Linked DNA regions of Macaca fascicularis. The protein of the gene in region 1 purifies or fractionates together with the protein of each later gene. This does not show direct contact. Links are inferred from orthologs where the notes say so. Each region holds a gene or a part of one and is shown on either strand. Other genes may lie near its edges.

Region 1 (16,578 bases):
GGGCTATGGCAGTCATTGTTACTATGGCTTAAGGGAGAGAAACAGGAGTGTGGATGTTTCTAACAAAGAGATAAAGAACAAATACATAACGAGGGTAGGTATTCTATTGTTTTATTTTTACCTAACCCTAAAGAGGGGTTAGAAATTTCCCTGAGGCCAGGCACCATGGCTCACGCCTGTAATGTCAGTTTTTTGGAAGGCCCAGGTGGGAGTATCATTTGAGGCCAGCCTGGGCAACATAGTAAGACCCTGTCTCTATGAAAACTAAAAAATTAGCCAGGTGTGGTGGAGTACACCTGTGGTCCCAGCTACTAGGGAGGCAGAAGCAGGAGGATCACTTGAGGCCAGGAGTTCAAGACGACCCTGGGCAACATTGCAAGACCCCCATCTCTACCAAAAAAAAATTTTTTTAAAAGAAATTTAGCCAGGCGTAGTAGTGTGTGTCTGTAGTCCCAGCTACTTGGTAGGCTGAGGCGGGAGGACCAACTGAAGCCAGGAGTTTGAGACCATACTGGGCAACATGGTGAGAGCTCCCATCTCTACAAAAATTTAAAAATTAGCTGGGTGTGGTGGCGTGCATCTAAAGTCCTAGCTACTTGGGAGGCTGAGGCAGGAGCATGGCTTGAGCCTAGGAGTTCCAGGCTGTGGTGAGCTATGATCACACCACTGCACTCCATCCTGGGCAATAGAAAGAGAGAGAGCGAGAGAGAGAGAGCACCTGTCTCTAAAAAAAATGTGGGGGAGTGGTTGGGGCAAAGGGAAATAGTATAACATCCAGGATTTGGTTTCAAATAGTCCAGCAAAATACAGCTGGCCCCCACATGTCATTTCATTGAATGTCATTTCATTATAACGTTGATGATTTTTTAAAAATTAATTTTGGGTTGGGACCACCATCCGTGTGGAGTTTGCATGGTCTCCCCATGTCTGCATGGCACGTTTGAAAATTTTCATAATAATCCACTTTTTTTTTTTTTTTTTTTTGGTGAGACATGGTCTCATTCTGTTGCCCAGGCTGGAGTGCAGTGGCACAATGTAGGCTCACTGCATCCTCAACCTCCTGGGCTCAAGAGATTCTCCTGCCTCACAGCCTCCTGAGTAGCTGGGACTACAGGTCTACATCACCACACTCAGCTTTTTTTTTTTTTTTTTTTTTTTTTTAAAGACGGTCTCGCTCTAATCGCCAGGCTGGAGTGCAGTGGCACGATCTCTACTCACCGCAACCTCCGCCTCCCGGGTTCAAGTGATTCTCCTGCCCCCTGAGTAGCTGGGACTACAGGCGCATGCCACCACACCTGGCTAATTTTTATATTTTTAGTAGAGATGGGGTTTCACCATGTTGGCCAGGATGGTCTCAATCTCTTGACCTCGTGATCCGCCCGCCTCGGCCTCCCAAAGTGCTATTTTTTAATTTTTTGTAGAGATGGGGATCTCGCTATATTGCCCAGCTGGTCACAAACTCCTGGGCTCAAGGGATCCTCCCACCTCAGCCTTTGAGTAGCTGGAATTATAGGTGCACATCACCATGCCCAGCCAATTTTTTTTTGTTTGTTTTGTAGAGACGAGGTCTTGCTATTATATCGTCCAAACTGGTCTCAAGCAATCCTCCTTCCTTGACCTCCCAAAGTGTGGGGATTACAGGCATGAGCCACCACCGGGGTCCGGCAATAATCCACTTTTAAAAATAAGGAATGGGGGGAATAATAGTACCTTCCTCATGCAGTTGCTGTGAAAACCAAAGGAGAATGACCGCCACAGCCGCCCCGCAGCAGGGACTGGGCACTTCTGGGTGGGCATCCAGCACACCTCCCGGCCTGTGCCTTCCGTTTCTTCTGTGTGTCTCTAGGCCAATGGCAGCAACTGACTACAAGTAAGGGAATCCCTCGCCTCCCTGCAAGCTCCTCCCCTTTCTCCCCGAGCCCCGCCCTCTGCAGCCCCTGCCTGCAAGAGTGGGGCTGGGCCCGGCAGGTGTGGGGTTAAGAGAGTCTGTTTGGGGCCCCCAGGAGCAGCAGCCTAAGCAGTGGCTGCAGCAACTGCAACAGCAGCGGCTGTGGCAGGCCTGGCCCCGGGCCAGCTGGCGGGAAGCCCCAGGAGGGAGGGAGGGAGGAGGAAGGGGAGGAGGAGGGGAAGGAGGAGGAGGAGGAGGAGGAGAGGAGCAGTCAGCAGGCCGAGGAGGCAGGACTTCCTGGTGTGGGGGTTGTCAACAGCTCAGAAGGAGAAAGACGGAGAGGCAGAGACCCAGGGGAGCGGAGGAGCGGAGACACGGACCCAGCGGGGCCACGCGGGAGGAGACTCGAGACACCCACTCGCTGGCTGCCACCGGGAGCAGCGGGGGGCTCGGCCGCCCTCTCCCACATCAGTCTCCAGACCCCTGGGGCTTCAGCGGCCGCTCCTGGGCTCCTCGGAGGAGCCGCGGGTTCCTTCTTTTCCGGAGAGCAAACTTTCCTCGGAGATGCCTCCCAGGATGAGCTGAGGCCCCCGGAGAGGACGGGGCAACCTCTGATCGCCGCCTGCGTGCCCCGCCACTCCCCGTGGCCAGAAGGCCCCAGGGAACGCACAGCCCGACCTCTTAGGCGCCGGGACCCTCAGGCTCAGATCAGTGGCCGAGGCCCCAGAGGTAGGATTCGGGGCTGGGTGGGGCGCTGGGGGTAGCCGGGCAGGGCCTGCCCCAGGGATGTGGGAGCTGGGGTGGGCTCGAGGCCCAGGAGAGGTCTCTCTGAGTGGCCGGGCCAGGCTGGGGAGCTGCTTCACCCCGGTTCTCCCAGGCCCTGGAGTCCAAGCTCTTGGGACAATACCCGCCCCCTGAGTCAGAATCTCAGATGAGAAATGCACAACTCTGGAACTCATCTGCCTCTTCCTACTCTGAGCGCCTTTTTGGATCTGGTCCCCTCTGCCCTGGTCTCTGTCATCTCTTGCCTGTCTCCGGGTCTCTGACGGTTTCCCCTTCCCCCACTCTGCTCCCCGGAGAGGAAGCCCCGGAGGTGGCCTGCCCACTGGTTTCACACACACACACAGACACACACACACACTCTCTCTCTCCCTCTTTTTCCAGTTTGCAAACTCAGCTCTGGAGTTCAGCAGCAACAGCAGCAGGAAAAACCTGCCCGTGCTCCCCCCTCCCGCCACCTCCCCTCTCCTCTTCTCCCCTCACCCAGCAGGCACCCCGGGTTCCCACCAGGCCCTCCTGCCATGTCGGACCCAGACGTCCCCAGGGGCCCGGATGCCCCCACCATGTGGCCCCCTTGTTCCAGGGGTGCCTGAGCCCCTTCAAGGAGTCCCAACCCACCCCCAACCTTGGCCCAGCCCTGAGCCCCAGGGACCATGAGCGGGGGCAAGAAGAAGAGTAGTTTCCAAATCACCAGCGTCACCACAGACTATGAGGGCCCGGGGAGCCCAGGGACTTCAGATCCGCCTACTCCACAGCCCCCCACCGGGCCCCTGCCCCGCCTGCCCAGTGGGGAGCCCAGCCCTGATCCGGGGGGCAAGGGCACCCCCCGGAATGGCTCCCCACCACCTGGGGCCCCCTCCTCCCGTTTCCGGGTGGTGAAGCTGCCCCACGGCCTGGGAGAGCCATATCGCCGTGGTCGCTGGACGTGTGTGGATGTTTATGAGCGAGACCTGGAGCCCCACAGCTTCGGCCGACTCCTGGAGGGAATTCGAGGGGCCTCAGGGGGCGCCGGGGGCAGATCTTTGGATTCCAGGTTGGAGCTGGCCAGCCTCGGCCTGGGCACCCCCACCCCACAGTCAGGCCTGTCTCAGGGCCCCACCTCCTGGCTCCGTCCACCCCCCACCTCTCCCGGACCTCAGGCCCGCTCCTTCACTGGGGGACTGGGCCAGCTGGTGGTGCCCGGCAAAGCCAAGGCAGAGACACCCCCACTGTCGGCCTCCCCACCCCAGCAGCGCCCCCCAGAGCCTGGGACCGGTGAGAGTGCGGGCACATCCCGGGCTGCCACGCCCCTGCCCTCTCTGAGGGTGGACGCGGAGGCTGGGGGCTCAGGGACCAGGACCCCTCCACTGTCCCGGAGGAAAGCTGTAGACATGCGGCTGCGGATGGAGTTGGGTGCTCCAGAGGAGATGGGGCAGGTAAGACCTGGGTTCTAGGGCTCGCCCATCAGCCCTGGCCTAACCTCTATCTTGGGCCTCCCTCCTCCCACCCCTTCTCCTCCCCTTCCTTCTCCCCCTCCTCCTTCCCGTCCCTTCCCCTCCCCTCCCCCTCCCCCTCCTCCTCCATTACTTGTCTATCAGATCAGACAGCCCTCTTCTCTGTGCCTGCCAGGTCACTCTGAAGCCCCTTCCTCCTCCTTCATTTTCTGTCTCAGCCTCCTTCCTGTTTTTCTGCACCCTCTCTCTTTCTCCCTGGCCTCTGATTCTCTGTCTTGGTCTTCATGTAGCCTATAGCATATGTGGCCCCCTCACCAGGCCTTCTTCTGTCTTGGTCTCAGCCCCTCTGCCTCTAGGTGATGAGGGTGGAGGCCTCAGCTGGGTAGCTGGGTCCCTGGGGGAGGAGCTGCCAGGATTTGGGGAGGAAAGGTAAAAGGTAGGCCTTGCGCGAGGCTAGTCTCTGCACTGCAGCCCCATCCTGAATGTAGGGGTCTTTCTTTTCTCCCAGCCACCCATCTCAGTCCTACCTCCAGCTTTGCTGTAGGCCAAGTGTCACTGAGAAATTGGGTGGGGGGAACACCTCTCAGGGATGGGGAGGGGGCTTGCTGGTTGATCCTTTTCACCCCCCAGTTGTCTGTCTCAACTCCCTCCATCTGAGCCTCTCTGTGATTGATAACTCCAGGGTGACCACCATGGAGTGGGGGAGAAAAGCCCCAGAAGGAGTTCAGTCCCATACTCTTTCTCCTTCCTGTCTCCAAAAGAGGAACAAGTCCGGGCTGGGGGGGCAGCATGCCTGGGTCCCCGTGGTGGGGGTGAGCAGCCAGAGACAAAAGGGTGGGATACTTCTGTCCTGTGGGGAGAATATAACACCTCGGAGGGCTGGGGAAAGGCAGGGAGTGTGAGGATGCGAACTCTTTCCCCTTCCTGGCCTTGGGCACAAACCACAGTATAAAAATAACCTGGGACTGGATGTCTGGGTCCTGTCAGGACCGGTCAGGACTGGCTCCCCCCAACCCCCTCCTGGCCTCAAGCTCACGTCTCTCGTGAGGCCCCTTCCTACCACTCCCCACCCCCTCCCCGCCCAACTCTTCTTGAACTCCTGCATTCAGCACCCACCCCAGGGGAGAAGATGCTGTTTCTCTTCCTGTCCTGTCCCCAGACTCTTCCAAAGCAAACCCCCTTGGCCTCCAGCTTCCCTGCTCTCTGTCCTTAAGCCTGGCCTGAGCTTCTCTTGGGGCCACAGACCCTGCCTGTCTCTCTCCAGTGCCCCCTGCTCCCCAGCTTTCCCCCACCTCCTGACGGTCTGCTGTTTGCACGTAACTGTTTTGCTATTTCCCTGCCCAAAAGTCTGTCTCCCTTCCACATCCCCTCATGCCTCTTCTCCCTCTTAACAGAAGGGAGTGGTGGAGAATGGCCAGGGGACACCACCTGGGCCCCCTTCCTCTGCTCTGTCCCTCTAACCACCCTGGACTCTCTGTTCTTGGCTTTTCTGAGAAGCTGGGGCCTCCCGGGGCCTCACAGAGGCGTCTTGTCATGTTCCTGTCGCCCCCGCCCTTTTTGCTGCCGCCCCCAGCGCCTGTTGGGCTATGCAGGTCCACGCCCAGGCTCCGCCTCCCCCCAGCTCCACAACCAGCCCCCGCCAACCCCAGGGCTGAGCGCAGGAGCAGAATTCCACCTGAGTCCGAGAAGTTTGAGAGGGGAGGCGAGAGTGAGGGGTGGATGAGGGGATGGAGGAGCAGTTTCTGAGGATCCATTCATTCTACAAATAGCTACTGAGCAAACTGACCTTCTAGCCGGGGAGAGACACAATAAATACTTTAATTTCAGATAATGTTAGGTGCTATAAAAAAAATGAAACAGTTCAGTGGACCAGTGAATGATGGGGAAATACCTCTCTAAGAGGTGACATTGGAGTCATTTTAAGAAGGCAGCCTGGGTGCAGTGGCTCACACCTATAATCCCAGCACTTTGGGAGGCTGAGGTGGGAGGATCACTTGAGGTCAGGAGTTCAAGACCAGCCTGGCCAACATGGTGAAACCCTGTTGTCTCTACTGAAAATAGAAAAATTTGCCAGGTGTGATGGCGGGCGCCAGTAGTCCTGGCTACTCAGGAGACCGAGGCAGGAGAATCACTGTAACCCGGAAGGCAGAGGTTGCAGTGAGCCAAGATCACATCACTGCACTCCAGCATGGGTGACAGAGCGAGACTCCAGCAAAGGCACAGGCTGGGAGCGGTGGCTTATTCTCCCAGCACTTTGGGAGGCTGAGGCGGGAGGATCACTTGAGCCCAGGAGTTTGAGACCAGCAGGGACAACATACTGAGACCCTGTGTTAACAAAAAATAAAAAATTAGCCAGTTACGGTGGTGCGCGCCGTAACTGTCCAGCTACTCGGGTGGCTGAGGCTGGAGGATCGCTTAAGCCTGGGAATTCGAGGCTGCAGTGAGCCATGATTGTGCTACTGCACTCCACCCTGGCTGACAGAGTGACTGTCTCAAAAAAATAAAATAAAATATAAAAGAAGGCAGACACTCTGAGTAGCCTCTGTTTAGGGTCCCGGCCCAGGGGGAGCAGGGACTTTGGAGTCTATTCTCGGTTCTTCCATCAGTCCCCCGCTCCTCCCACTTGGGAGACCCTCTGTAATGTCCCATACACCACTCCTCCCATTCCTCAGGTTTACCCATTTCTTGCTTCTAGTACCTGCCTAATGCCTTCTCCAGAGCTGGAGAAGGGAAGGGCTGTGGGGACAGGACTCCCGGGTCCTCCAAAGGGAGTAGAGAGGTGGAGAGGGAGGAAGGCTAATAGGCAAGTTATAAGGCGGCTGATTCCTTTCTCTTCTCTTTTCACGTGATGGTTCCTACCTCTCCGCCTCCAGGTGCCCCCACTCGACTCTCGCCCCAGCTCCCCGGCCCTCTACTTCGCCCACGATGCCAGCCTGGTTCACAAATCTCCAGACCCCTTCGGAGCAGTAGCAGCTCAGAAATTCAGCCTGGCCCACTCCATGTTGGCCATCAGTGGTCACCTAGACAGCGATGATGATAGGTAGGTGGGCTTCGTGGGGTGGTGGGGCGTGGGGTTCAGGTTCCCTGCCCAGCACCTGGGATGGCTGTGAGAAACTGCCCGGTAGGCATCCTTCCCCCAGGTTGAACTTGGAGAGGAACTCTTAGACAGAGAAACCTGGCCTGGGCATAACCACTGCACACAGATGATTTCGGACCCACTCCCTCTCTGTGGAGAGGGCTGGGTGGGACTCCCTGGCTCAGAACTGTCAGGTCACAGACTTTTTTAGATTCTGAAGGGACTCATTGTTGTCAGATTCCAGAGCTCTTGCAGATTTAGAGATCATCTGGCCAACCCCAGGAACCCACTGGCAAATGCGTGCTCTAGACAGAATAGCAAATCAGGCCGGGGCACAGTGGCTCCCACCTGTACTCGTGGTGCTTTGGGAGGCCCGGGCAGGAGAATTGCTTGAGGCCAGGAGTTCAAGACCAAACCCTGGCAATGTAGCAAGACCTCATCTCTAAAAAGAAAAAGAAATAAAATAGCATATATATAGATAGATATAGAGATACACACACACACACACACACACACATACATATATATAAAGGAAGTAGGCTGGGCATGGTGGCTCATGCCTGTAATCCCAGCACTTTAGGAGGCTGAAGTGGGCAGATCATCTGAGGTCAGGAGTTCAAGACCAGCCTTGCCAACACGGTGAAACCCTGTCTGTACTAAAAATACAAAAATTAGCCGGGTGTGGTGGTATGTACCTGAAATCCCAGCTACTCAGGAGGCTGAGGCAGGATAATCACTTGAACCTGGGAGGCAGAGTGTGCAGTGAGCTGAGATCCGCACAACTGCACTCCAGCCTGGGTGACAGAGCGAGACTCTGCCTCAAAAAAAAAAAAAAAAAAAAAAGAACTGAAAAAGAATGGAAATCAGTTTCGTCTCAGTTCCATCTCCCTCTTCCTCTCCTAACAAAGGACTGGGACTCCCTAACAGCACGTATGGACTGTGACATCCGATAGCCCACGGGGTCTACTTTAGTATCCTAGGATTTCTAGAACCGAGAAAGCGAGTCCCTAAGATGGGCCAGCTAGGAACAGAGTCAGAGCTAGGAATGGCAAAGGGGCAGGGACGGCACTGCAGAGAGCGACTTTCTGGGGTTCACCTTTTAGGGGAAAGTGCTCTGTTGGGTGGGTTTTCAGGGCCAGGTGTCACCGTTCCTAAGAAAGCCAGCAAGCTGAAAAGGGAGGCCCAGAATCGTGAGTCAGAGATAGCCAGGCTGCCTGCTTCTGGCCGGGGACTGATAGGAACCCGGCAGAAGGGCTGGGGAGTCACCGTTTTTCTTTTGGAGGGAGGAGTGGGACTTCCGTAGGAGGTTTTCAAGGGGAGGGACTTCCTGCTTGGAAGGAAATTGGGGGTGGGGCTTCGAGAGTGGGTGAGTGGGTGCCTGAGGGACCTATTCCAGATGGGAGTTGCTCCTTCCTCTCCTCCCCAGATCCGGGGCCGCTCGCGGGATCAGGTACTTAAGCCCACCACTGACAGGGTCCTGCAGCCTCGGGGAGGAGAGGGACCTGGCAAAGGGGGTGGCCAGGAGCTAGTGTGATGGAGGGCAAGGGTGCCAGTGCTAGGCGGGGCTGGGCGGGGCTGGGCAGGACACGGTGGCTCCTGCACGCCCCATTCCCACTCTCAGGAATGTGTGAGGTGTGAGGTCGGCCAGGGCTGGGAGAGTCACCTGCCCCCATCACTGCTATTCTCAGCATTTCCCGCCCTCTCCCTCTGCCACTTGGGAGGTTCCCTGGCTAGAGGACTCCCCGTCCCTCCCCCACCCCTGCTGAGTTCACAGCCCAGCCTCCTGCTGTCTCTGTCTTAGAGGATTCAACCTCCTGAGGCCTCCGTCTTTCCCCGTCCCCTCCCTCCCTGCCTTCCTCCGTCCCACCCCCTCCCTGCACACCCCAATCTGACCAGTCCGGTTCCCAGCCTCCACTTCACCCTGCTGTGCTCCAAGGCTCTTGGGGATCTGTCCCAGCCCAGCCCCTCAAGCCCCACCCTGCCAAGCCGGCGGGTTTGGGTTGGGCCACCCCCTGCCCCCTAGGAATGGGACGTGTAGACCCCACCTCTCCTTTCTGGTGTACACAGAGCTGGCAGAACAGGGTCCCAGTGGCCTGGGACCTCCCTCTTACGAGGGAAGGTGGGCCGAGATGTTCAGTGCCTGGATCACAGGGAGGGAGTTGGAGATGCCTGACCAGTCCCTGAATCTGGGGATGGGCGAACAGAGGGTGCAGGTGAATCTAGAATGCTCACATGCCCTGGGACTGGAAATCCTTGTCCCCTCCTTGCAGGTGGCAGGTAGTTGGTTAAGTGTGAAGAAGTGGATGGAAGGAATTGGGGGTGGGGGCAGTGGCCGGCCTACGAGATCCAGGCATTATAGGGAATGGATCCCAGGGACTTGGGAAAGAAAAGATACATTTATTTATCCAGTACCTCCCCTGGGTCCGGTACTGCCTTATCCCTTGTAATCCTAAAAAGCAGTTCCGTTCTCCCACTTGCCAGATGAAGTATCTGAAACTCAGAGAAGGAGGGTTTTTTGTTGTTGTTGTTGTTGTTGTTGTTGTTGTTGTTTTTTGATGGAGTCTTGCTCTGTGTCCCAGGCTGCAATGCAGTGGCACAATCTTGGCTTACTGCAACCTCTACCTCCCAGGTTTAACTGATTCTCCTGGCTCAGCCTCCCGAGTAGCTGGGACTACAGGTGCCCGCCACCACGCCCGGCTAATTTTTGTATTTTTGCTAGAAACGGGGTTTCAACATGTTGGCCGGGCTGGTCTCAAACTCCTGACCTCAGGTGATCCACCCACCTCGGCCTCCCAAAGTGCTGGGATTAGAGGCATGAGCCACCATGCCTGGCCAGGAGGATTTTAGAAACTTGCCCGGGGCCACCCAGCTAGTTTAAGTGGCTGGACTACAGTTGGAGCCTAGGTCCAACCCCAAAGCCACTTTCTCCACTATCCTACTGGGATGCCTGTGTCCCAAGCAAAGAGGTGGCGGCAACGGTCTATGATGTCCTTTCTCTCTAGGACAGGGACAGCTCTCCCAAGCAGGGCAGGGAGCCAAACCCCCTTCCCCCTCCCTGACCTCCCCAGCCCCGCCCCAAAGACACCACAAATCCGGGAGAGCATAGAGACAGGGCAGCTGGTTGACACTTTCCTGGTCCCAGGCCTAGGCCCTGGGGGATCCCCTGAACTCACTGGCGAGTATGCAGGGCTGGCCCCTGTCCCCAAGATCCCAGGCTCCCCATTTCTCCCAGGTGTCCTGCTTTTTTTTTTTTTTTTTTTTTTTTTTTTTTGAGACGGAGTCTCGCTCTGTCGCCCAGGCTGGAGTGCAGTGGCCGGATCTCAGCTCACTGCAAGCCCCGCCTCCCGGGTTCACGCCATTCTCCTGCCTCAGCCTCCCGAGTAGCTGGGACTACAGGCGCCTGCCACCTCGCCCGGCTAGTTTTTTGTATTTTTTAGTAGAGACGGGGTTTCACCGTGTTAGCCAGGATGGTCTCGATCTTCTGACCTCGTGATCCACCCGTCTCGGCCTCCCAAAGTGCTGGGATTACAGGCTTGAGCCACCGCGCCCGGCCAGGTGTCCTGCTTTTTATCCCATCTTCATGTTGAGGCCGTTTTATTTGACCCTCAAAGAGGAAGACCAGCTTCTAGGGCTGTCCCTGCCCCGGGACCGAGAGTCCTGCAGGGCTAAGTCTCCCACTGTGCATGTCACACACTGCACAACTCCAGGGGGTGCTGCTCATATTTGAAATCACAGTCAATGCTGGAAGTCACGACAGTTTTCCGGAAGGTGGCATTAAGGGTCTTGAAGAAAGGGGCATTTTCTAATCCACACAAACTTGCTTTTGGGCTTGTGGTGGAGGTAGGTCCTGTCTCAGCAGCCACTACTTTCCTCCCCTGGACCCTGTCAAAGAATTCTAGCACAGTGCCCACAACCCCTCACTCTGGGGTCCTAAAGGGGAAGGCCTGCGTTGCCAGAGTCCTGGTCCCTTGAAGTGTGTGTTAGAATGTTCCAATGGAGGCTGGGCGCGGTGGCTCACACCTGTAATCCCAGCATTTTGGGAGGTTGAGGCGGGCGGATCACGAGGTCAGGAGTTGGCGACCAGCCTGGCCAACATGGTGAAACCCCATCTCTACTAAAAATACAAAAATTAGCTGGGCGTGGTGGCGCATGCTTGTAATCTCAGCTACTCTGGAGGCTGAGGCAGGATAATCGCTTGAACCCGGGAGGTGGAGGTTCCAGTGAGCCGAAATCGCGCCATTGTACTCCAGCCTGGGCGACAAGAGCAAGACTTAGTCTTAAAAAAAAAAAAAAAGCCCCAGTGGAAAGTGCTGTCAGAAACTCTCAGGCGCTAGACAAACAGAAGACAGTCACCTATTGGCCAACAAACGTTTATTGTTGTATTATTCCTTTATCTCTGGCGAGAACGAACACCTTACTTGACATCTTTACCCCTGAGTCTCCGCCAAGCAGGGCCCATGTTCCTATCCCTAGGTATCCACCCGCTTTGGTCTCTGTGAGTCTGTGTAATGTGGTGGAGGGGGGGTATTGGGTTTTCTGTGGTGGCTCCATATCCACTCAGGTGTTGCTGATTGAAATAGCTCAAAAATTACTTTGACCCTCCTGCTGGCAGACCCACCACCCCGCCTTCAACTTCTCCTCTCCCACTGCCCCAGGAGTCCCAGATTCCCTTCCCCCACCCACCCCATCCTGCTCACTCAGGCCTGGTCACCTCAGTTGCTCTACCTGTCAGCGCGTTCTGCACCCAGAGCTTGGATGAGAAATGGAAAATTCCCAGCTCCCTGTGCTCCCTTCCTGGCTGCAGGACCTCATCCAAGGGTCACCTTGAATTGAGTGCTGATCCCCCTGCGGGGAAGCGAGTCTGAGCTGACAGCCAGGAGGGAGAGCTTACAAGGGAGCCCAGGGATGTGGCCTGCAGCCCCTTGAGGCCCCTGCTCCGAGCGGGGCCCAGCTGGGGGCTGGAGGGCAGGACTGGGGATCCCACCACAGCACCAGAGTGCAGGGGTACAAGGGTAGGTCTGGAGCCTCAGGGCAAGAGCCTGGGGCCAGAGTGGTGGGAGAGGGAGCCTTGGAGGATGAGGTCGGCACAAGAGCCTGTGCAGGTCCTGGGCGGTGAGAGTGGGGCTTGAGGGAGAGCCAGGTTCTGGGACCAAGAGCCCAGCGTCTTGGAGCCAGCCTGGAGCCTGGCCCTGGGGGCTGTTGAGCCAGGCCTGAGTCGCCCTCTGGTGGCCACTTCCCAGACTGCAGCCAGACCCTGTCACCTGGGACTCCCACCTCTCTTCCAAGCCCTGTTGCTCCTCTTCCCAATGTCCCATCTCCAAGCTCACTTCCCTTCCTCTCCTCTGAGCCCTCGCTTCCTCTGAGACCCCAGACCCAGGTCCCAGGCCCATAGGCGGTTTTTTTTTTTTTTTTTTTTGAGACGGAGTCTGGCTCTGTCGCCCAGGCTGGAGTGCAGTGGCCAGATCTCAGCTCACTGCAAGCTCCGCCTCCCGGGTTCACGCCATTCTCCTGCCTCAGCCTCCTGAGTAGCTGGGACTACAGGCGCCCACCACCTCGCCCGGCTAGTTTTTTGTATTTTTTAGTAGAGACGGGGTTTCACCGTGTTAGCCAGGATGGTCTCGATCTCCTGACCTCGTGATCCGGCGGTATTTTTTTTTTAAGACAGAGTTTTGCTCTTGTTGCCCCGGCTGGAGTGCAGTGGCCTGATCTCGGCTCACTGCAGTCTCCACCTCCCAGGTTCAAGCGATTCTCCTGCCTCAGCCTCCTGAGTAGCTGGGATTACAGGCACCTGCCACCACGCCTGGCTAATTTTTTGTACTTCTAGTAGAGCCAGGGTTTCACCATGTTGGCCAGGCTGGTCTTGAACTTCTGACCTCAGGAGATCCGCCTGCCTCAGCCTCCCAAAGTGCTGGGATTACGGGCATGTGCCACCATGCCTGTCCCTTTTTTTTTTTTTTTTTGAGACAGGATCTCACTCTGTCTTCCAGGCTGGAGTGTAGTAGCACGATCTTAGCTCACTGCAACCTCTACCTCCCGGTTCAAGCAATTCTCCTGCCTCAGCCTCCTGAGTAGCTGGGATTACTGGCACCCTCCACCATGCCTGGCTAATTTTTGTATTTTCAGTAGAGATGGGGTTTCACCGTGTTAGCCAGGCTGGTCTCGAACTCCTGACCTCAAATGATCCACCCACCTCAGCCTCCCAAAGTGCTGGGATTACAGGTGTGAGCCACCGCACCTGGCCTTTAGGCTGTATTCGTCTTCTAGGGCTCTGGGCTCAGTTTCTGTTGCCGTGGTAACCTTTCCCATTTTTGGTCTTCTCTGGAAAGTCAGGGACCCTCTGGCCAGGTCCCGGGGTCACCCATGATGTGAGCCTTGTGGGGTTTTTTGGTAGTAGAGCACTCATGATCTATGGAAGACCACGAGTACGTCAGAACGCCCCCTACCCCAGCCACCTCCACCCTCTTTCCCAAGGCCTTGAGGGACAGAGGGGACAGGATGGGGTCAGAGGTGGGGAGGGGCCTCCGAGGGCCAGGCCCTTCGTCTCCCTTCACACCCTTTACTCCCCTCTCAGACCCAGGCTTCTGCCCCACGCCCCTCCCCTGGCCCAGCCACCAGCTGACTTCCTCGGCCGGCCCCCTCCCCTCCACTCTGGGATTGGTGCCAGGGTGAGAAGGGGACACTGGCACTGACCGTGTCTGGGAATTCCCGCCCACCGAGGAGCCGAGGGGAGGGGGGGTCCCCGTGTCCCCAAGGAGCCAATAGCAGCCAGGCCTTGCCCTTGGGGGGGGTGGTGTATATCTTTCAGGCCAGCACCCCCGAGGCACTGTCTCCTCTCTGCCCGCCTGGCACCAGCCAGACCCCGCTCTGCCCGGGGGGCTCTGAGCCCCCCAGGCATTCCCTTCACTGCATCCTTCTCCGTTGGGGGGGCGTCTAAGGACCCTTTCCCCTTGGGCATGGCCCAGCCAGGGATCTCTGTCAAGTCCCTGGTGTCATCTTATGAGACCCGAGTGGTGGGGATGGCTCCGGGGCCGCCCCGAAAAAGGGGCTGTGCCTCTTCCCCTTGCTCTCCCCGGGGTGCGTCCCCCATACGAGGGACATCTGGGCCCCCGCCCCACCGGGGCCTGGGAGGCCCTGGGCAGCGGCCCTCAGCCCGCAGGGGGATGGACAAAACCCTCCTCTCCCTCATTCTCTACTGTCACAGGTATAGGGGGGTGTGGGCGGGAGGCTGTGGTCCAAGAAACCAGCACCTGGGAAGGCTCCTCCTCTCCTCCCCTCACCTTCCTGTGTCTCTCCAGTGGCTCCGGAAGCCTGGTTGGCATTGACAACAAAATCGAGCAAGCCATGGTAAGAGAAGCCATCTTGGTCCCAGGAGGTCCCGGCCCCCTTAAGCCATCCCTCCGCCCCAGCCCTGTCTTCTTCCTTACCAGGGAACACCAACTCCCAGTTCCTCCATCCCTCTCCCTGCTGGGCTCCTGGGCATCCTCTGCCCCCTCCTACCGCCACCTGCACCCTTGACTTTGCCCGGCCTCTGGTCTGGCTGCTGGTCCCCATCTCTGTCTTTGAGCTCTGACTCTGCCTCTGTCCCTCGTCCTTTTCCCCTGTCCCTTCCCTGCTTTGTCTCTCATCCTCTGGACACGGGACTCTCTCCCATCCCGGCCCTTGAGGCACTGGGCAGGGGATGAGGCACCCACTCCGTTGACACTGTGCCTGTCCCCGGGGCCCCCAGGATTTGGTGAAGTCCCACCTCATGTTTGCGGTCCGGGAGGAGGTGGAGGTACTGAAGGAGCAGATCCGGGAACTGGCAGAGCGGAACGCTGCGCTGGAGCAGGAGAACGGGCTGCTGCGCGCCCTGGCCAGCCCGGAGCAGCTGGCTCAGCTGCCCTCCTCGGGGGTCCCACGGCTTGGGCCCTCCGCGCCCAATGGGCCCTCCGTCTGAGCCTCCCTTCCCTTACAATGTGCCTTTGGGGCTGCCCGGCCTTTTGTCAGCCGCCTGCCCCCTCTTCCTATGCAGCTTTAATGTCCCCATGTCCCCAGGGTGGGAGTTCAAGGCTCAGTAACGGCCTGGTCCCCCGGCCCCTGCCCCATCTCCTCATCATCCCCAGCCTTGATGGAGGAGGGAGGACTTCAGGACGGGGCATCAGAGGGAGCCCCCTCTGGGAGGGAACCAACCTCCACCCTCCCTCATGGGACCCCCAGCAGTCGACGGCCTGGGGGAGTTGGAGGCTCCCTGGCAGACACCCCACCCCCACCTTGTTCCCTTGAGGTGCATCCTCTCCTCTGCCTAGGGGAGGGAGTGTGGACAGTATCTGGAAGTTCTGGGATTCAGGTTGTTATTAAAATAATAATAATTAAAAATTCTGAAGAAACTTGAATTTGGAGGTTGACATCTCGTTCGTTGCTTGTGTTCAGACTCAGGGGTTGCGCCTGCCATTTGGGGCTTCCCTGAGATCTTTTGCAGACTGGGGAGGTTTAAAGCGTGGGAGATGGAGGGGTTGAGACAGAGACTGGAGAAGGGAGCCAGCGGTTCGGGTCCTGGGAAGGGGCAGGCGAGGATTGGGGGTGGGGGGGCGTCTGCCCACGTGCTGGGCGGGGGGACCAGGAAACAATGAGGTCTTTGGTGGCTGCCCAAGATCCACCCCCAGCTTCCCAGTGTGTCCCCTCTGCGGGCTGGATCCGGGTGGCTGCTTGGGGGCGGGGCGGGGGGCCCTGAATGGGCCCCTTGTCTCTGGGCTGGGTGTGGGCCAGACTCCCTGGGCACACGGTGCCCTTGCCAGGCCTGGCCGGCCGCCGTGGCTCCCACCCCCGGCCAGCTGAGGACGGGCCCTGTGGGTGAGATGGCCCCTCCCTGGCAGCCTGGGCTCCAGTCCCAGGCGGAAGAGTCAGCAGTGATGGAGAAGGACCCCATCTAGCGGGGAAGAGGTGAGAGTTGCGGATGTAGCCCCAGGAGGCCCCTAGCCCCAGCAGCCTCCAAGGAGGCTGACCTGCCTTGGAGTCCGTGACTCTCTGCCTCCTTAGGTTTCCCTAGGTTCATAACCTTGGGCAACTTCTTTGGTTTTTCTTTTTTTTTTCTTCGTTTCTTCTTTCTTTTTTTGAGACAGGGTCTTGCTCTGATGCCCGGAATGCAGCGGCACAAACACAGCTCCCTGCAGCCTCCACGTCCCTGGCTCAAGTGATCCTCCTGCCTTGGCCTCCCTGAACTATAGGTGTGTGCCACCACGTTCAGCTAATTGTCTTTATTTTTGTAGAGATGGGGCCTTGCTATGTTGCCCAGGCTGGAGTGCAGTGGTGTTATCATAGATCACTGTTGTCTTCCACTCCTGGGCTCAAGTGATCCTCCCACTTCAGTCTCCTAAGTAGCTGGGACTACAGGCATGTGGCACTATGCCCAGCTAGAGACGGAG
Region 2 (15,672 bases), on another chromosome or scaffold:
AGACGGGGTTTCACCGTGTTAGCCAGGATGGTCTCGATCTCCTGACCTCGTGATCCGCCCGCCTCGGTCTCCCAAAGTGCTGAGATTATAGGCGTGAGCCATTTTTTTTTTCAAATAAGGCTGTGCTCCTAGGTACTGGGGATCAGGATGTAGACTTTTGGGGGATTCTATATGACCTACCACAGAACATGTGTGTCTGGTTATGGGGGTGGAGAAAGGGGAGGAAATTCATTGAGATTCTTCTGCTCAAGCCTTACCTCTTCAGGGGCTTCTCTGGACCACACCCCCCAAAACGCACCCCTGCCCACCCAGAGATCCATTCAACAAGTGTTTGCTGAGGGCCTGCTGCGTGCCAGGTACTGTCCTCGCACCAGAGAAAGAGCAGGGACAAAGAGAAGACACTCCTGCCCTGTGGGAGCTCGAATAGCAACAGGGACACAGACAGTGAAGAAGAGAGATGAGAAAAACCCAGATGCAAGTCAGGTGGGGTGAATGCCCCAGGAAAAGTCAAGTCAAGCAGGGGAAAGGGGATGGGGACTGTGATGTCAGGATTCGTGGCCAGGGCAGGCCTCTCAGGAAGTGACCTCAGAGGATGTTTGGGAAGGGCATTCCGGGCAAAGGTATAACCAGGGCAGAGACCCTGAGGGGAAGTGCCTGTCATGTCCAACGGCACAGGGCCATGTACTTGCGGTGGGCTCAGCTGAAGAGGGCAGGGGACATGAGGTAGGGTAATGGGACCAATTACTGGGCCTTCCTGTTTAGGCCCTCGTGCCAAGTGAGAAGGGACCACTGGGGGCTACCCAAAACCACCCTCAGGTTCAATGGTTCACTGTAAGGACTCACAGAACTCAGAAAGGGTACCATTTATTACAGCAATGGATGCGTTAAAATCAGCAGTGGCAAGGACTCACGGAACAGAACCCAAGAGAGACCAGCACAGGTCTGCAGGTGTCCACACCCACTGCAGGCATGCGGACAGTGCTCAACCTCCCAGCACGGATGAGCACAGCATGCCACCAGCCAGGGAAGCCCTCTGTACCGCGGTGTCCAGGGTTTTTATTGGGTTGGTCACACAGGTATGGCTGACCTCCCAAGTCGCAGACTTTGGCCTCCAGCCCCTGCAGAGGTCAGGCTGATGCCACATGGCCCAAAGTCCCCCGGTAGACCACGTTGTTAGCACAGACTAGGGGTGTCCAATCTTTGGACCTTCCTGGCACACATTGGAAGAACTGTCCTGGGCAACACACTTAAATAAAATACACTTAACACTAACAACAGCTGATGAGCTTTAAAAAAAAATCTCAACAAGAAAGTTTACAAATTTGTGTTGGGGCCGGGCGCGGTGGCTCAAGCCTGTAATCCCAGCACTTTGGGAGGCCGAGACGGGTGGATCACGAGGTCAGGAGATCGAGACCATCCTGGCTAACACGGTGAAACCCCATCTCTACTAAAAAAATACAAAAAACTAGCCGGGCGAGGTGGCGGGCGCCTGTAGTCCCAGCTACTCAGGAGGCTGAGGCAGGAGAATGGCGTAAACCCGGGAGGTGGAGCTTGCAGTGAGCTGAGATCCGGCCACTGCACCCCAGCCTGGGCAACAGAGCAAGACTCCGTCTCAAAAAAAAAAAAAAATTGTGTTGGGCCGAATGCACCCTCTGGGCTGCGGATTGGACAAGCTTAGCATAGACTATGGTGTGGCCTAGGTAAACACAGACATTCAAATCAGGCGGAACATTCCAAAGGCTTAGAGGGTGTCTCTCAGGAGCTGGTCAGGGCAAGTTTCAGGGTGGAGAATTTGAACACCCCAAACCTTTACTGCAGAAGGCCTCAGCAGGATCATCTGGCCTTGGTGGAAGCCACACTCAGGGGACCTGGTGACCAAGGCTGGTCAGGAAAGAGCGACCACAGGGGACGCAGCAGGGCCAGATGCAAATCTGCCAAAGAAAGAAAGAGGCGTCCCAAAGGGACAGCACACGGAGGCGCGCGGAAGGGAGGAGCGGAGTTCCAATTTGGGCTCCAGAGAGAGAAGGTGAAGGATGAGGACCCGCCCTGAGAGAGGGAGAAGGCCACGGGAAGGCTGTGGCAGCTGCGGGCTGAAGGGGGTTTTAGGTGAGAATCGGGGACAGCCCCGGTGGTCAGCGTGGCTGGAGGGTGTGCTCAGAGCGGCCTCCGGAGGGAGCGGCCTTGTGAGCCGGGTGGGCTCCCCCATCATGGTTCCACTGTCCCGAGCCAACCGCGGAAAGGAGGGGCGCGTTTGAGGAGAAAAGAGAAAATCGCCATCCTGGAAGGTGAGAAGATGGGCTTGTGGGCGGGAGGAGGCACCGGCGGGCGGGCCACGGAGAGATTTGTGGCCCCCAGTGAAAGTCAGCCTGGGTCAGCCTGCTGGTGGGCCTTTCCCCCCGCCCTCGGTGTCCCACCCACCTGTCCCAAGGGGGTCGGCCGGGGAATGAGTGCGTGGCCAGGAGAGCGGGGCCCCGCTTTCGAGCCCGCGGGGACTCCTGCAGCTGGAGGGTGTCGTGGGCTTGGGGGACCCCAGATGCCCCGGGTCTTCCCCCAGATCCTAGGAGAGCAACCGCGAGAGAAGTGGGCTGCTCCAGGCTCCGGGTGGCCGCGGGGCGGGGCCTCCACGGGGGCGGGGATTTGGGGGCGGTTCCCCTGCGCGGGGCGGGACTTCGAGGAGGCGAGGCGGAGCCTGGGGCGGGGCCTCGCGGAGGACCTTGGGAATGGGCGGGGGCGGGGACCAAAACGGGGCGGGGCTTCGCGGAGGTAGGGCGGGGCTTCGCGGAGGAGGCTTGGGGGACGAGGAGGGGACAGGGCCTGGGGCGGGGCTTCGCGAGGCGGGGCCTCCGAAGGGGCGGGGCCTGGGCGCGGCCGGGGTTCGGCAGCTGGCTGGGAAGCGGTGCTCTGGCTCGGGCTGGCACACGCGGCTCGGGAGCGGCGCGCCGGCTCCGCCTCCGGCCCCCATCTGCCCGCCGCGCGCCCGCCCCTCCCAATTCCCAGAGCCGGGGCTGGGGCTTGCGGCGGCGGCGGCGGCGGCGGATCTAGGCTGGGCTGCTGGGCGCGGGGCCAGGGCGGGCCGGGAGAGGCTGCTCCGGCGGTGGATCGCGCGGAGGGCGGTGGCCTGGGCCGGCCGAACCATGGCGGCCCCTGAACCGGCGCCGAGGCTGGCCCGGGAGCGGGAGCGGGAGGACGAGAGCGAGGACGAGAGCGACATCCTGGAAGAGAGCCCGTGTGGTCGCTGGCAAAAGCGGCGGGAGGAGGTGGGCGCGGGGGTCGGGGGCACTGGGGTGACACCGCCCTCCCAGAGCCGGAGGGGCCTGGAGGCTGCGCGGGGCGTGGGGGCGCTGGGAGAGCGCGGCGCGCGGCGCCTGGAAACCTCTCCACGGTCCCTCGCGGCCAGCGAATCAGCCACCCCTGGACCCCTTTGGCCTGGCGCCCGCCCTGGGATTCCCTGAGGGCCAGTCTCCTCCTAGGACCACCTCCCCATGCCTCTGGACTCAGCGGCTAGGTTCCTGGGGATCCCCCTCGACCCCTTGAAACCTGCTCCAAATCCCCTTAGCCCAGCCCTTGGATAGGAGCCCTTGGATAGGAGCCCTTGGCTCCTAGGGGCAGCTACCCTCCAAGCCCCCACCTTCCCGCAGAGTGGCTCAGGTCCTACAGTCCACGCTTGGGCCCACTGGAAAGGAATAGACAGGGACCAAATCCTCACCCGCAACCTGACACACACCAGGGCACACATAACCCCTTATTCACTCCCCAGGTAAACCAGGGGAACATGCCAGGGCTTCAGAGCACCTTCCTAGCCATGGACACGGAGGAGGGGGTAGAGGTGGTGTGGAACGAGCTCCACTTCAGAGACAGGAAGGCCTTCGCGGCGCACGAGGTGAGGCCGCTGCCCCCTCCTCATCCTGCCTGGGTGACCACCTGCTGACCACCTAGAGACCACCCTCCCTCCCCAGGAGAAGATCCAGACTGTGTTTGAGCAGCTGGTGCTGGTGGACCACCCCAACATCGTGAAGTTGCACAAGTATTGGCTGGATACCTCCGAGGCCTGCGCGAGGGTGATTATGGGCGAGGCCCCGGGCAGGCAGAGGCCACAGCCAGGTGGGGTGGGCATGGGGACGAACGCGCAGCTGGTGGAAATCCTGAGCTCGCACCCTGCAGGTCATCTTCATCACAGAGTACGTGTCATCAGGCAGCCTCAAGCAATTCCTCAAAAAAACCAAGAAGAACCACAAGGCCATGAACGCCCGGGTATGGGGAGCGGGCTGGGGCAGCCACGGGGACAGGACGGGGTTGGGGCAGCCTCGGGGACTGGGATGGTGAGGGGGTGCCCAGTGGCCTCGGACAGGGACTGGGCGAGGATGCGGGGCGGGCTCCGCAGGCCCAGCCGCCTCTCCTGCGCCCACCCGACGGAGTCGTGCGTCCGCCGCCAGGCCTGGAAGCGCTGGTGCACGCAGATCCTGTCCGCGCTCAGGTGAGGGCCTGGGCTGGTCCGGGCGCTGCGCTGCTGAGCCCCCGCCTCCCCAGAGCCTCCTGACCGGCTCCTCCTACTCTCCCCTCCCCAACGTCTGCAGCTTCCTGCACGCCTGCAGCCCCCCGATCATTCACGGGAACCTGACCAGCGACACCATCTTCATTCAGCACAACGGCCTCATCAAGATCGGCTCTGGTGCTGGCGGGACAGGGCTGGGCGGGGGACGGGGCAGGGGAAGGTGCCTGCAGCCAAGGGCAGAGGAGTTCTGATGCTCCAGCAGCTAACTCCGCTCTTTCTCCCGCCCCTTGGCAGTGTGGCACCGAATCTTCTCCAATGGTAAGTGCGGACTCTGGGGGATGGGGTCCTGGAGAGGTCCCGCCCGCTCAGCCTTTGCGCCCTCCACAGCGCTGCCGCATGATCTCCGAAGCCCCATCCGCGCTGAGCGAGAGGAACTTCGGAACCTGCACTTCTTCCCCCCAGAGTACGGCGGTGAGTGGCGCTGGGTCTGGGCGCCCCGTGCCTGCCCTGTGTGCTTCTCTCCTACCCGTCCTGTGTTCTCTCCTGTTCAGAGGTGGCCGATGGGACCGCTGTGGACATCTTCTCCTTTGGGATGTGTGCGCTGGAGGTACTGCCCCCGCCCTCCACCTTGTGCTCTGCCCTCCTCCTAGCTGTGCCCTGCCTGGCTCACCTGTGTGGTCCCTTCCCCATGCCTGACCTGGCTCTGTGCCCCAGATGGCTGTGCTGGAGATCCAGGCCAACGGGGACACCCGGGTCACAGAGGAGGCCATTGCTCGTGCCAGGCACTCACTGAGTGACCCCAACATGCGGGTAAGCAGCTTGCCCTGCCCCTCCCCAGCTGGCTCATTGTGCTCAGCTAGGCCAGCAAGGTGCTCCAGGCAGGCCTGGGAGAGCATCACAGTTTATGTAGCTGAGAGGTATATCAGCTGGCTGCACCCCCGCAAAGAGGACCTCAGTGGGAGCACATACTGGTTCCAGGCCTGGAGGCCCTAATGGGTCAGCACATTCTAAGGACAAGAAGGCAAGAAAGACCCTCCCTCTGTGGCTGCTATCACCATGCCCGTTTTGTAGATAAAGAAACTGAGGCTCAGAGGAGATGAGTCCTTTGCCTGAGGCTTTAGAGTAAGTGGTGGAGCCAACATCTGCACCTGGGTCTGCTTCACTCCAAGTCCTTGACTTTAAGCTTCTAGGAGGTGATGAGGCTCCAGCTTGTGGGGGGACATGGTGGGTGCCAAGCAGGCAAAAAGAGGTATGGGATGGAAGCTGCATCCATAGCCCCCTCTGCTCGGAATCCAGACTTAACTCCATGGCCTCAGGAGATGGGGGTGCCTGGATGGGGCTGGTAGGGAGCTGGAGCCGGGCTGGGCACGGATGTGGATAGAGTGGGGAACCAGCAAGGTCATCTCCAGTGCTGGGCCTGAGCTGAGCCGATCAAATGACCATGGGTAGCGAGAGGCAGAGCTTGCAGTGAGCCGAGATCGTGCCACTGCACTCCAGCCTGGGCGACAGAGTGAGATTCCGTCTCAAAAAAAAAAAAAAAAAAGGACCACAGCTTGCAGGTGTGACTTAAAGATCATGGCTCCTACTCCCCATGATTTTTGGGAGGTTGAGGGAAGCAGAGCATGGTGCTCCAATCCCAGAACCCAGCTGTCCTCAAGCCCAGAGGGCCAGGTCCTGGCCTGGCTGCTGCCAGGACTCCTCCCTACGGGCATCCCTGCATGTCCTGTATGTCCCTGAGGAGGAGGGACGAGGAGAACTCAGGGACCACCTCTCCTCGAACTGTGGGGCCAGAGCAGAGAGCTCTGCACACCACCAGCCTCTCCTCCCCATGCCCCAGGAGTTCATCCTTTGCTGCCTGGCCCGGGACCCTGCCCGCCGGCCCTCTGCCCACAGCCTCCTCTTCCACCGCGTGCTCTTCGAGGTGCACTCGCTGAAGCTCCTAGCAGCCCACTGCTTTATCCAGCACCAGTGTGAGCAGCAGGCCAGCCCAGGGGGTGACCGGGGAGGCTGCGGCTGGGATGTGGAAGGGGCCCTGCAGGACCCACGGCCTTGATGCTCCTGTGGCTGCAGACCTCATGCCTGAGAACGTAGTGGAGGAGAAGACCAAGGCCGTGGACCTGCACGCAGTCTTGGCGGAGCTTCCCCGGCCCCGCAGGCCCCCGCTGCAGTGGCGGTGAGCAGTCAGCACCCAGAAACCTCCCCTCCCCGTGCCTCCCCTCCCTGCGCCCCTGACCAGCCCCTCATGTGCCTCCCACCCCCATGCCAGGTATTCGGAAGTCTCCTTCATGGAGCTGGACAAATTCCTGGAGGATGTCAGGTAAGAACTGATGTAAGGTTGGGGGCCAGGCAGCTGTCAGGCCTGAGCCCCCAGCCACCCCGGTGTGTCTCCAGGAATGGGATCTACCCACTGATGAACTTTGCAGCCACTCGGCCCCTGGGGCTGCCCCGGGTGCTAGCCCCACCCCTGGAGGAGGTCCAAAAGGCCAAGACCCCGACGCCAGAGCCCTTTGACTCTGAGACTAGGAAGGTGAGTCCCCTCTTGCTGCTCAGTGCCATCCCTCAGACCTTCCAGCAGCCTGATAAGAGATTCCTTCTCCCAGGGCCTGCTCCCCACAGCCCAGCTCTCCTCCTGGCTGCCAGAGACCAGATCCAGGCTGACCCCCTTGTGGGGATTATGGGGGTTGTAGGACAGGCTGGACACTCTCCTTTTCCGGGAGGCTCCCTGTCCCCTCAGATCCTCCCCTGCATCCTGCTGCCTGCCCTGAACCTACTGCAAGCATCCTTCCTCCAGAACTCGCCCAGGCTCTTCCACCCCGCCAGTACTCTTCCCGCCACCCCCCACCTCCCACCCCCCACCCTCCCACCCCCACCCTCCCACCCCCCACCCTCCCACCCCCACCCTCCCACCCCCCACCTCGTGCTGATTCCCGGGTATCTATGTCCTGGTGTCTCCTCAGACTTTTCCTGCAGCGCTGCCTCCTGGCCAGTGGCCTCTCTTGGTGCAGTGCAGCCAGAATTTATGTCCTAACAGGCAAACTGCCTGCTCCTGGCTGCCCGCAGAGATCATGGGAGTCCTCAGCTGATGCCCAGGCGCTGGGAGGCCTGGTCCTGCAGGCACCCTGCACTTCGGTGCAGTCGCATCCCACTCAACCTCCCTTTCCCCGTGCTCAAGTTCCCTCTTTGTTTAAGTTGTTCTCTCAGCAGTGAAAGCTCCTATTCAGCCTTCAGTACCCAGCACCTAATGTCGACTCTTCTCGAAGCTTTCCTTAGCTCACTAGGCCACTAGCAGTGAGATGGGCTCCTCTTAGAGATTCCCCCCTTTCCAATCTCTGCTGTCCCTTCCTGGCCCCTCTGGGGCCGCGGCATGTGGTCTCGCTGCTGGGTCTGTGAGTCTCAGCCTTCCGCCGCTGCAGGTCATCCAGATGCAGTGCAACCTGGAGAGAAGCGAGGACAAGGCGCGCTGGCATGTGAGCGGGGCCTGGGAGGGCAGCGCTGCTGTGGGGAAGGCGGGAGCGTGGCAGACCCCCAAACCTCCAGCCGACCACGCCCCGCCGCCTCCCCAGCTCACTTTGCTTCTGGTGCTGGAGGACCGGCTGCACCGGCAGCTGACCTACGACCTGCTCCCAAGTAGGCTGGGCAAGGGACCTGGGCGGTGGGCGGTGACCCCGGGCAGCGGGTGGCGCAGCGGCCTCATGCCTCGCCTTACACCGTTGCCGCAGCGGACAGCCCTCAGGACCTCGCCTCGGAGCTTGTGCACTACGGCTTCCTCCATGAGGTGCGCTGGGCGGTGCAGCGTGGCCTGGCGGAGGGGGCAAGCGGGGCAGGCTGTGCCCCTCCGTCCCCCATGCCTCCCTCCTTCCGCAGGACGACCGGATGAAGCTGGCCACCTTCCTGGAGAGCACCTTCCTGAAGTACCGTGGGGCCCAGGCCTGACCCAGTACCCCAGCCCCTGGGGACCATGCCGGGGTGCTGCCCAGGCAGGCCATGTGGGGGAGACCCCAGCACCGCAGGGCTGCTCTCCTCCGTGTGCCTGGGAGCACAAAGGCCCTGGTAGTGAAGAAACCCCCGCCTCCTGAGAGTGGGGCTGACCCTGCCTCGGGCGCCGCGGGGGTGGGGGGTGGGTGTGGGGGAGCCGTTAGGCCTCCCAGGTCCTTAGGTTCAGGGTTGCCCTCAGGACCCCTTCCCATATCCTCCATTCTCCACCCTGAGTTCCTACCCAGGCTGCCTGGCCAGGGCCACTGCCTGCTCAGCATGCAGGAGGCTGCCCTGCAGGGAGCCCCAGCTCTGGGGCTTGGGGGTGAGGGTCAGCCCTGGACAGACCTCTGCCCAGGGAACTGCTCCATGGGGTCTGGGAGAGCAGCCATCCCTGGCTGGCACCATAGACCCACACAAGGAGCCTGCACAGCAAGCCAGCAGTGACACACCTGCAGGTGTCACGCATGGCACTGGGCACAACAGGGACCTGGCAGGAGAAACAGACCACAGAGAGGTCTGGAGTTGAGGCTGTCATCAGCAAAGCCCCTGGTCCCACGCAGCTCTGCCCTGGAGCCACCTCTTTGACCCTTTACCCACCCCGAGACCAGAACCTACAGCCCCTCTACAGATCTTCTCTGGCCACTGCAGCCCCTCTACAGATCTCCTCTGGCCACTGCAGCCCCTCTACAGATCTCCTCTGGCCACTGCAGCCCCCCTACAGATCTCCTCTGGCCACTGCAGCCCCCCTACAGATCTCCTCTGGCCACTGCAGCCCCCCTACAGATCTCCTCTGGCCACTGCAGCCCCTCTACAGATATCCTCTGGCCACTGCAGCCCCTCCAACGGGCTTTTTCTCTCCTGCATTCCCTGGCCTGGAGGGGTCAGGGCCCCCACATCCTCTCTGCTCCTCAGATTCACACCCCCTCCATGTTACCTCCCGCACCTCCTCCCTGGGGCAGCTGCTCCCTGGGCCTCTGAGGATGTCAGCTCCTGGCTCCCTGCCTCTCTCCCACTGCACTCCTGGCTCAGTCTTAGAGGTTTCTATGCCCCCATAGATTCTACCCCTGCCTTCCTGGCCTCTTGATTCTTGGCTTGCCTCTCCTCCAATTCCAAACTTAGTGAAATGGCCTTAAACATTTTAAATTGTATGTATAAATTTAGCACAATCATGCCTTTTTAAAAGCATTTCAAATGTCAAACCAGGAAGGCACACCACTGTATTAGTTCTATACTGCTGCTGTAAAATTTACCACAAACTTAGTGGCTTAGAACAACACAAATGTATTGCAATTCTGTAGGCTGGAAGTCTGACTACAGGTCTCACTGGACTAGAATCAAGGCTGGCAGGCTGCCTTCCTTCCTGGAGGTTCTAGGGGAGACTCTGTCTCCTGCTTCTTCAGGCTGCTGGCAGAATCCACATCCTTTCAGTGGCAGGGCCAAGGTCCCTACTTTCTTGCTGGCTGTAAACTAAGGCCACTTCCAGCTTGTAGAGGCTGCCTACATTCCTTGGCTCTTGGCCTCCTCCTCCATCTTCAAAGCTAGCAGTTTCAGTCTGTATCACGAAACATTTCTCTGGTTCTCTGCAGACAGGAAAGGTTGTCCCTAAGGACTCATGAGATTAGGTTGGGCCCAGCCAGATAATACAGGATAATCTCCCTCCTCAAGGTTTTTAATATTAAACACATCTGCAGGACACATTTTGCCATGTAAACTAACATTCACTGGTTCCAGGGATTAAGGAAGGAAACTCTTTTGTTGGGGAAGGGTGGCATTCTGCTGACCACAGCACCCCAACCAAAAGCCAAAAACCAAAGCAAGACTTACTAATGCATATCAAATAAATTAAATGTGCAAAATAGTGAATCTCAGTTATCTTAAATATTCCAATACTATTTACAAAATTATTCTAATGCTCACACCTTCCAACTCAAAATTAGTAATCTAAAATAATCTCCATATCCTAGATGGAAACCCTCATGTGAAACTGTCTGATTACGCACGGTCCTAAATGGTTTCAGTGGCAAACACATAACATTGTACTACTGATTAAACTGAACTTAAAAGCATCAATACTACCATTGCTGCACTTAATCATGTCTCTGTTGAATTCTTCCTTTTATCTTTTCAGAATTTTATGTGTATTGTTTTTAAAGTAGAATGGGTTTTTTTTTTTCTTTTTGAGGCCAATGATAAATAATAAAGGCAGGCTCCTACTCTCATCCTCTCCAAATTCAACTCTCTTAACTGTTTCTTCAGGCATTTTGAAATCCATGTTTTTCAAAATCATGAGCTTTTAGTTCTGTTTATTAGTTGTTTCACATTAGGTGTCCCCAGCCAGCATCCTCTGGGAGGAGGGTGGTCACCCGCCTCAGTCTCCTGATGCGGCATCGTTCTAGTGTGACGGGCATCACAGCTGCAGGGTGTTATTACAGCTTCATTACCACGCGTCACAGGAGAACAGGGTGTTCTAGGATGGCATTTCTTGCACAACTTTTTGTTTTCCCTGGAGTTAATAATTGCCTATTTTTTGTTTGCCTGGTTTTCTATATGTGTTTGTCATCGATTCATCTTTAGACTTTCCTGCAAAAGCATGAGCATCCTCTCACAGCTTAGGACTCATCACATAACTGACTGCTCAGTTTCTTCTTTTCCTGGAGCCCCCACTATGCAAGCCCCCTGCCCAGGCTACTTGTTCTTGGACTTATGGTCCAGTTGTCAGCATGGGTTAACTCTTCACCAGTGTCCTGGAATGCTTTCCTTTTCCTTCATTTGCTCTGTTTGAGAAGGACCATCCTCCAAGTTTCCTGAGAGGGTGCATAGGAAGTTGCGGAGTCTTTACCTGTTTGTCTTTATGCTAACCTCACATATGCTTGACGGTGTGACTAGTTACAAAAAGCTTGGCTTGGTTGAAAATCATTTATTCCCAGGATTTTGAGGGTGTCGTGTCATTTTCTTCTAGTTCTGAGAACTCTTGTGCCTTTCTGAATTCTGACTCTTTACCTATGATCTCTTCTGTTTTATTCTTTGCCCCATTACTTCGGCAATTTTCAATGATGTGTCTTGATATACAACTTGCCTTTCACCCATTGTTCAGGAAACATGACTGTTTGGTTCTAGGAAATTTTCGTGATTTATCTCTTTGTTGATTTCTCTCATTTCCTTATTTTCTGGACAATTTATTTAGATGTTGGGTTTCTGTTTTTTGGGTTTTTATTTTTTGTTTTTGTTTTTTGAGACAGGATTTGGCTCCGTCACCCAGGCTGGAGGGCAGTGGTATGATCACAGGGCACTGCAACCTCCACCTTCTGGGCTCCAGCAATGCTCCCACCTTAGCCTCCCTACTAGCTAGGACTACAGGCCTGTGCCACCATGCCCAGCTGGTTTTTTAAAATTATTTTTTGTAGAGATGTGGCCTCGCTATATTGCCCAAGCTGGTCTTGAACCCCTGGGTCCAAGTGATCCTCCTGCCTCAGCCTCCTGAAGTGCTGGAAAGGCAGGTATGAGCCACTGTGCCTGACCTGGACTTCTCTTTTGAGATGCAGTCATGGTGGTGGAAACAACACAGGCTCTGGAGCCATTCTACTGCTCCCTGCCTTGTGATGTTGCCCATCAGTAAAAATGGGGATAACAGCTGTACCCATTGCATAGCACTGGGTTGTGAGGATCCCATGAGTGAATGTGTGTAAGAACAGTGCTGGGCACCATGCACCCTGCATGCACGTTATTGTCAAGGGAAGCTGTTCCCAGAGGGTGGTGCCTGTGGCTTCCCCTGGTGGTGGTGGTGGACCAGCCCCCCACCACCCATCCACCCCCTCCATTGTGGAGGCCTTGTGTGCCAGGCTGGCCCTAAGGGCACCCACCTGTGTTACTGCTATTCTGTTTTCCAGCTATCTGGTTCTGTCATTATACATTCTGGAAGACTTCATCCTAAAAAGCCTATTGAATTGCTCTTTCCCCTCATGTTTTATTTCTAAGAGCTCGTTCTCATCCTGAGTGTTCTTTCTCTATAGCCCCCAGTTCCTTTTTATTGCCTGTAATACCTCTAATATCTCTGAGAATGGCATTTTAGTTTTCATTTTTCTTTGGCTTCCTTTATTGTCTCTGTTTCTTCTGAGTCCCTTTGCTTCTTTCTCAGGTGTCTGATGATCCTGGGCTGTCCAGTTGCTTTTAAGAATGAGATGCTTTTAGTGGCTGGGGCTTATGGCCTGGTGAGCTTCGAGGCCAGGGATCTGGCTGGGCCATTCTACTGGGCAACCCTCTGCCCCTAGCTGCCCTGCCAGTCTTTTCTTTTGAGCTGGGAGCTGCAGCAGAAAGGAGCCCTCCTCTCTGAGGAGGCTGATGGCATGTCGGTGGTCAGACCCAGCCCAGGGGGTGGAGGTAAGGCAAGGACCCAGAGTCTCACTTATTCCCAGGCTTTCAGACAGAGCCTTGCTTGGGCAGGGCCTCAGAGCTCCTCTCCCAGAGTTCACGTCTCAGCCACTGCACTGCCTGCCAGCCCCGGTGGGTATGGACAGAGGTCTGGGGTTTCCTTTCTGTAGCTGTGCTTTCACCCACGACCCTCAGACACCGGCCTCCATGGCCGCGTGGGCTGGAGTAGCTCTCACTGTCCATCTTCCTCCAGCTCTACAATATCCCAGCTCTTTGCCCTTGCAGGGTTTGTCTTTATAAAACCCCTTTCCTATAATTTCAGAGGGTTTCAGGAGGAAGGCGGGGAATATGCTGCCCTATTTAAGTAAAGGTGTCTGTATTAAATTCTAAACGTTCCCAGGGTTGAAAGGAGGCCTGCCCGGGATGCCTTGTGGCCTCAGGCACTGAAGGTGCCTGAGCTTACAGATGTGGCTTCTTCAGATGACCAAGTTAGGGTCTCGGGACTGGGTGCAGCAGATGGCAAATGTCCAGGACGGGCAGCTTTCCCAACAGTACTGATAAACACTTTGGGTCATGAAAGCCAGTTCAGGTACTAAGGGGGCCTGTAGCCTGCGGGCCTAGTGACTGATGTCAGCCAGCCTACGGTCATCTGTTCCCTGGAAGGAGAAAAGGCTGCCAATTGAACGAGGTTTCCCGGCCCCAAGGATGTCACGACGCGGGGACGAAGCATCTCACGACGTGAGCCTGAAACACACGGGCCTTTCATCACCCGAGACTCCTCCAGTCCAGGAGGGTCCCGCTCTTTCCCCTGCCTCGCGGAGGAGAGCCTCTGGACGACGCCCGCGACGGCGTTTTCTCCAAAAAAGGCAGAGAAGAGAAGCTCAGTAGTGGCCGCAAGGGCGAGGGGCGGCGAGGGCCACCACGCGCTCCCGCGTCGGCCACGCGGCGAGAAAAGCCCGGCTCGTGTACCGCGGCGCGCGCCCCCGGACGCCCAGGTTGCACAGACCCCTCCCCTCGCCCGGCCAAGGGCACACCCCTTCCGTCGCCCCTCCCGCGGGCGTTAACCGTCCCTCCCCGCCCCGGAAGCGCGTTCTTACCTCCTTCCTCGCGAGAGTACCGTGCGCCGGCGCCCAGATCGCGCGAGACCGCGGAAGGAGCAGGAGTGGGTGGTGCGCGCGGCGGCCGCGACGGACGCAAGATGGCGACGGCGACCATAGCTCTCGTAAGTGAGCCCCCCGTGACGCGGGCGGCCCTCAGCTTGCGGGGCCGGGTCGTCGGCCCAGCCTGGGCGCGGAGGGCCTCCCAAGAACGCGGCGGTCTTCCCAGGTCCCGCGCGGAGTCCCTTGTGTCCCCGGGTCGCGCGAGGCGGGGGCGGGGCGGGTGCGCGCGGGCGGCCGGCTCGCGGCCTCAGCTTCCGGTCTGCGGACCCCAGCTTCCGGCGGGGCGGGGCGGCGCGGGGGCCCGGGCGCTGCATGTGGCCCGGGCGGGCGAGCCTAGCGGGGTCGCGTTCCTACCCGCTAGGTCCGGCAGGCGGGGGTCGTCGTCCTCCCTTTGCCGACGGGGATGTGCGCCGTGGTCACGACGGAAGCGGGTTCCTGGGGATGATGCGTGGGCCTTCGGGTTGATAGGATCAGAAGGGGACGGGATCTGTAGAAAGGGGTCTGCAGCTCAGAGCATGGGGTGGCCTTGGCTCGCTACGCCTGCAGCTGTGAATTCGTTCTCCGGTGCTGTAGAGTGATATGGTTATCTCTATTCTCTTGTCTCCACTTGGGAAAGAAGGACGTGCTTTCTCATCCTACGGTTTTTGAGAAATCGCTCTGTGGGAGGATTTGGGGACACAATGGGGAACCAGACAGGCGGTCGGAGGTCTGGTGCCCACCAGAAGTAAGTTCCCACCCAGGGTACCATTTGCTGGGCTCCCGAGGGAACTGCGTGGGCATCCAGAAGAGTGAGTCGCCCCCTGCTCTGCTCAGTGCCCACCTCCCCGGGCAGGGCAGGCGTTATTAACGTAGGGGGAGAACATCCATGCACACAACACATGCGCGATGAAGTCTGGTCTTTCTTCCTCACCACTTAGCTTATAGGACTTAATCCCGTTTTGGACCTTTCTTAGCCACAGTTTACCCATTTATTACTTGCTACTCTCCCCCCAGCCCACATCCAGCGGGATGGGATAAGGTCTGTTTGAGAAGACAACTTGAGCAAGTGGCTGAAGGCTGGACTGACAGGACCAGGGAGTGTCCTTAGACTGCCATTTCCAGGCCCCATACTAGGGGGAGAGAGGCATTTGCACAAGATACCTAGCTTGCGAGGGCAGCCCAGTGTGTGATTCACAGGGCTGGCTAACTCCACTTTTTCTATCATGTGTTTTCTCTTGAAGCCACAGGAGTAAGTGATCTTTGAGGGGCACTCCAGAGGGAAAGGAAATAAGGGTTAAGAACCTGGTGACTGTCTCCAGGAAGCAGAGAGTTGATGGTGAAGGAGGAGGAGGCTCAGAGACAAGTACTGGACACCTGGGAAGGTGGAGGAGGAGAATGGATGCCTCACTCCCCAAGCATCCGCAGAACAGCGCCCTGTGCTCATGAGGGTTAAATGGGGGCTCAGGTCTGCTGTGGCATGGTGCCAGATAGTTGGTGTCATTGTTGAGTTGGACGTGGGTCATAACTGACGCCATGAACAGGTTCTCAGTTGGGGTGTTTGTTGCCATCCAAATTCTGTTGGGGTTAATACATGCTTTTTCATTGCATCAGGCTCCAGGAATGAGCTGTAGCCTGTGGTCTAACCCATTCCTCTTTTCATCACTGGGATGGAAAGGCTTCTAGAAGGGTTATCTGTTC

The links.
Region 2: the proteins of TSC22D4 (region 1) and NRBP2 purify together in Homo sapiens (affinity purification with mass spectrometry; 3 studies listed by BioGRID and IntAct, counting the BioPlex papers as one, with this or other methods). This does not show direct contact. The link is inferred for Macaca fascicularis from reciprocal best matches to the Homo sapiens genes TSC22D4 and NRBP2.

The regions. Positions count from the first base shown.
Region 1 is NC_088377.1:49,048,197-49,064,774, reverse strand, and holds TSC22D4 (TSC22 domain family protein 4), read left to right. Parts: upstream 1-2,210; 5' UTR 2,211-2,617; intron 2,618-3,052; 5' UTR 3,053-3,321; coding exon 3,322-4,083; intron 4,084-6,974; coding exon 6,975-7,141; intron 7,142-14,378; coding exon of another isoform or gene 14,379-14,472; coding exon 14,473-14,521; intron 14,522-14,903; coding exon 14,904-15,113; 3' UTR 15,114-15,549; downstream 15,550-16,578.
Region 2 is NC_088382.1:153,494,346-153,510,017, reverse strand, and holds NRBP2 (nuclear receptor-binding protein 2), read left to right. Parts: upstream 1-2,870; 5' UTR 2,871-3,134; coding exon 3,135-3,257; intron 3,258-3,757; coding exon 3,758-3,880; intron 3,881-3,956; coding exon 3,957-4,058; intron 4,059-4,161; coding exon 4,162-4,251; intron 4,252-4,433; coding exon 4,434-4,474; intron 4,475-4,574; coding exon 4,575-4,669; intron 4,670-4,786; coding exon 4,787-4,810; intron 4,811-4,879; coding exon 4,880-4,963; intron 4,964-5,043; coding exon 5,044-5,099; intron 5,100-5,206; coding exon 5,207-5,302; intron 5,303-6,329; coding exon 6,330-6,462; intron 6,463-6,562; coding exon 6,563-6,665; intron 6,666-6,758; coding exon 6,759-6,809; intron 6,810-6,883; coding exon 6,884-7,019; intron 7,020-7,905; coding exon 7,906-8,119; intron 8,120-8,211; coding exon 8,212-8,369; coding exon of another isoform or gene 8,370-8,425; 3' UTR 8,426-10,558; downstream 10,559-15,672. UniProt on the Homo sapiens protein: May regulate apoptosis of neural progenitor cells during their differentiation.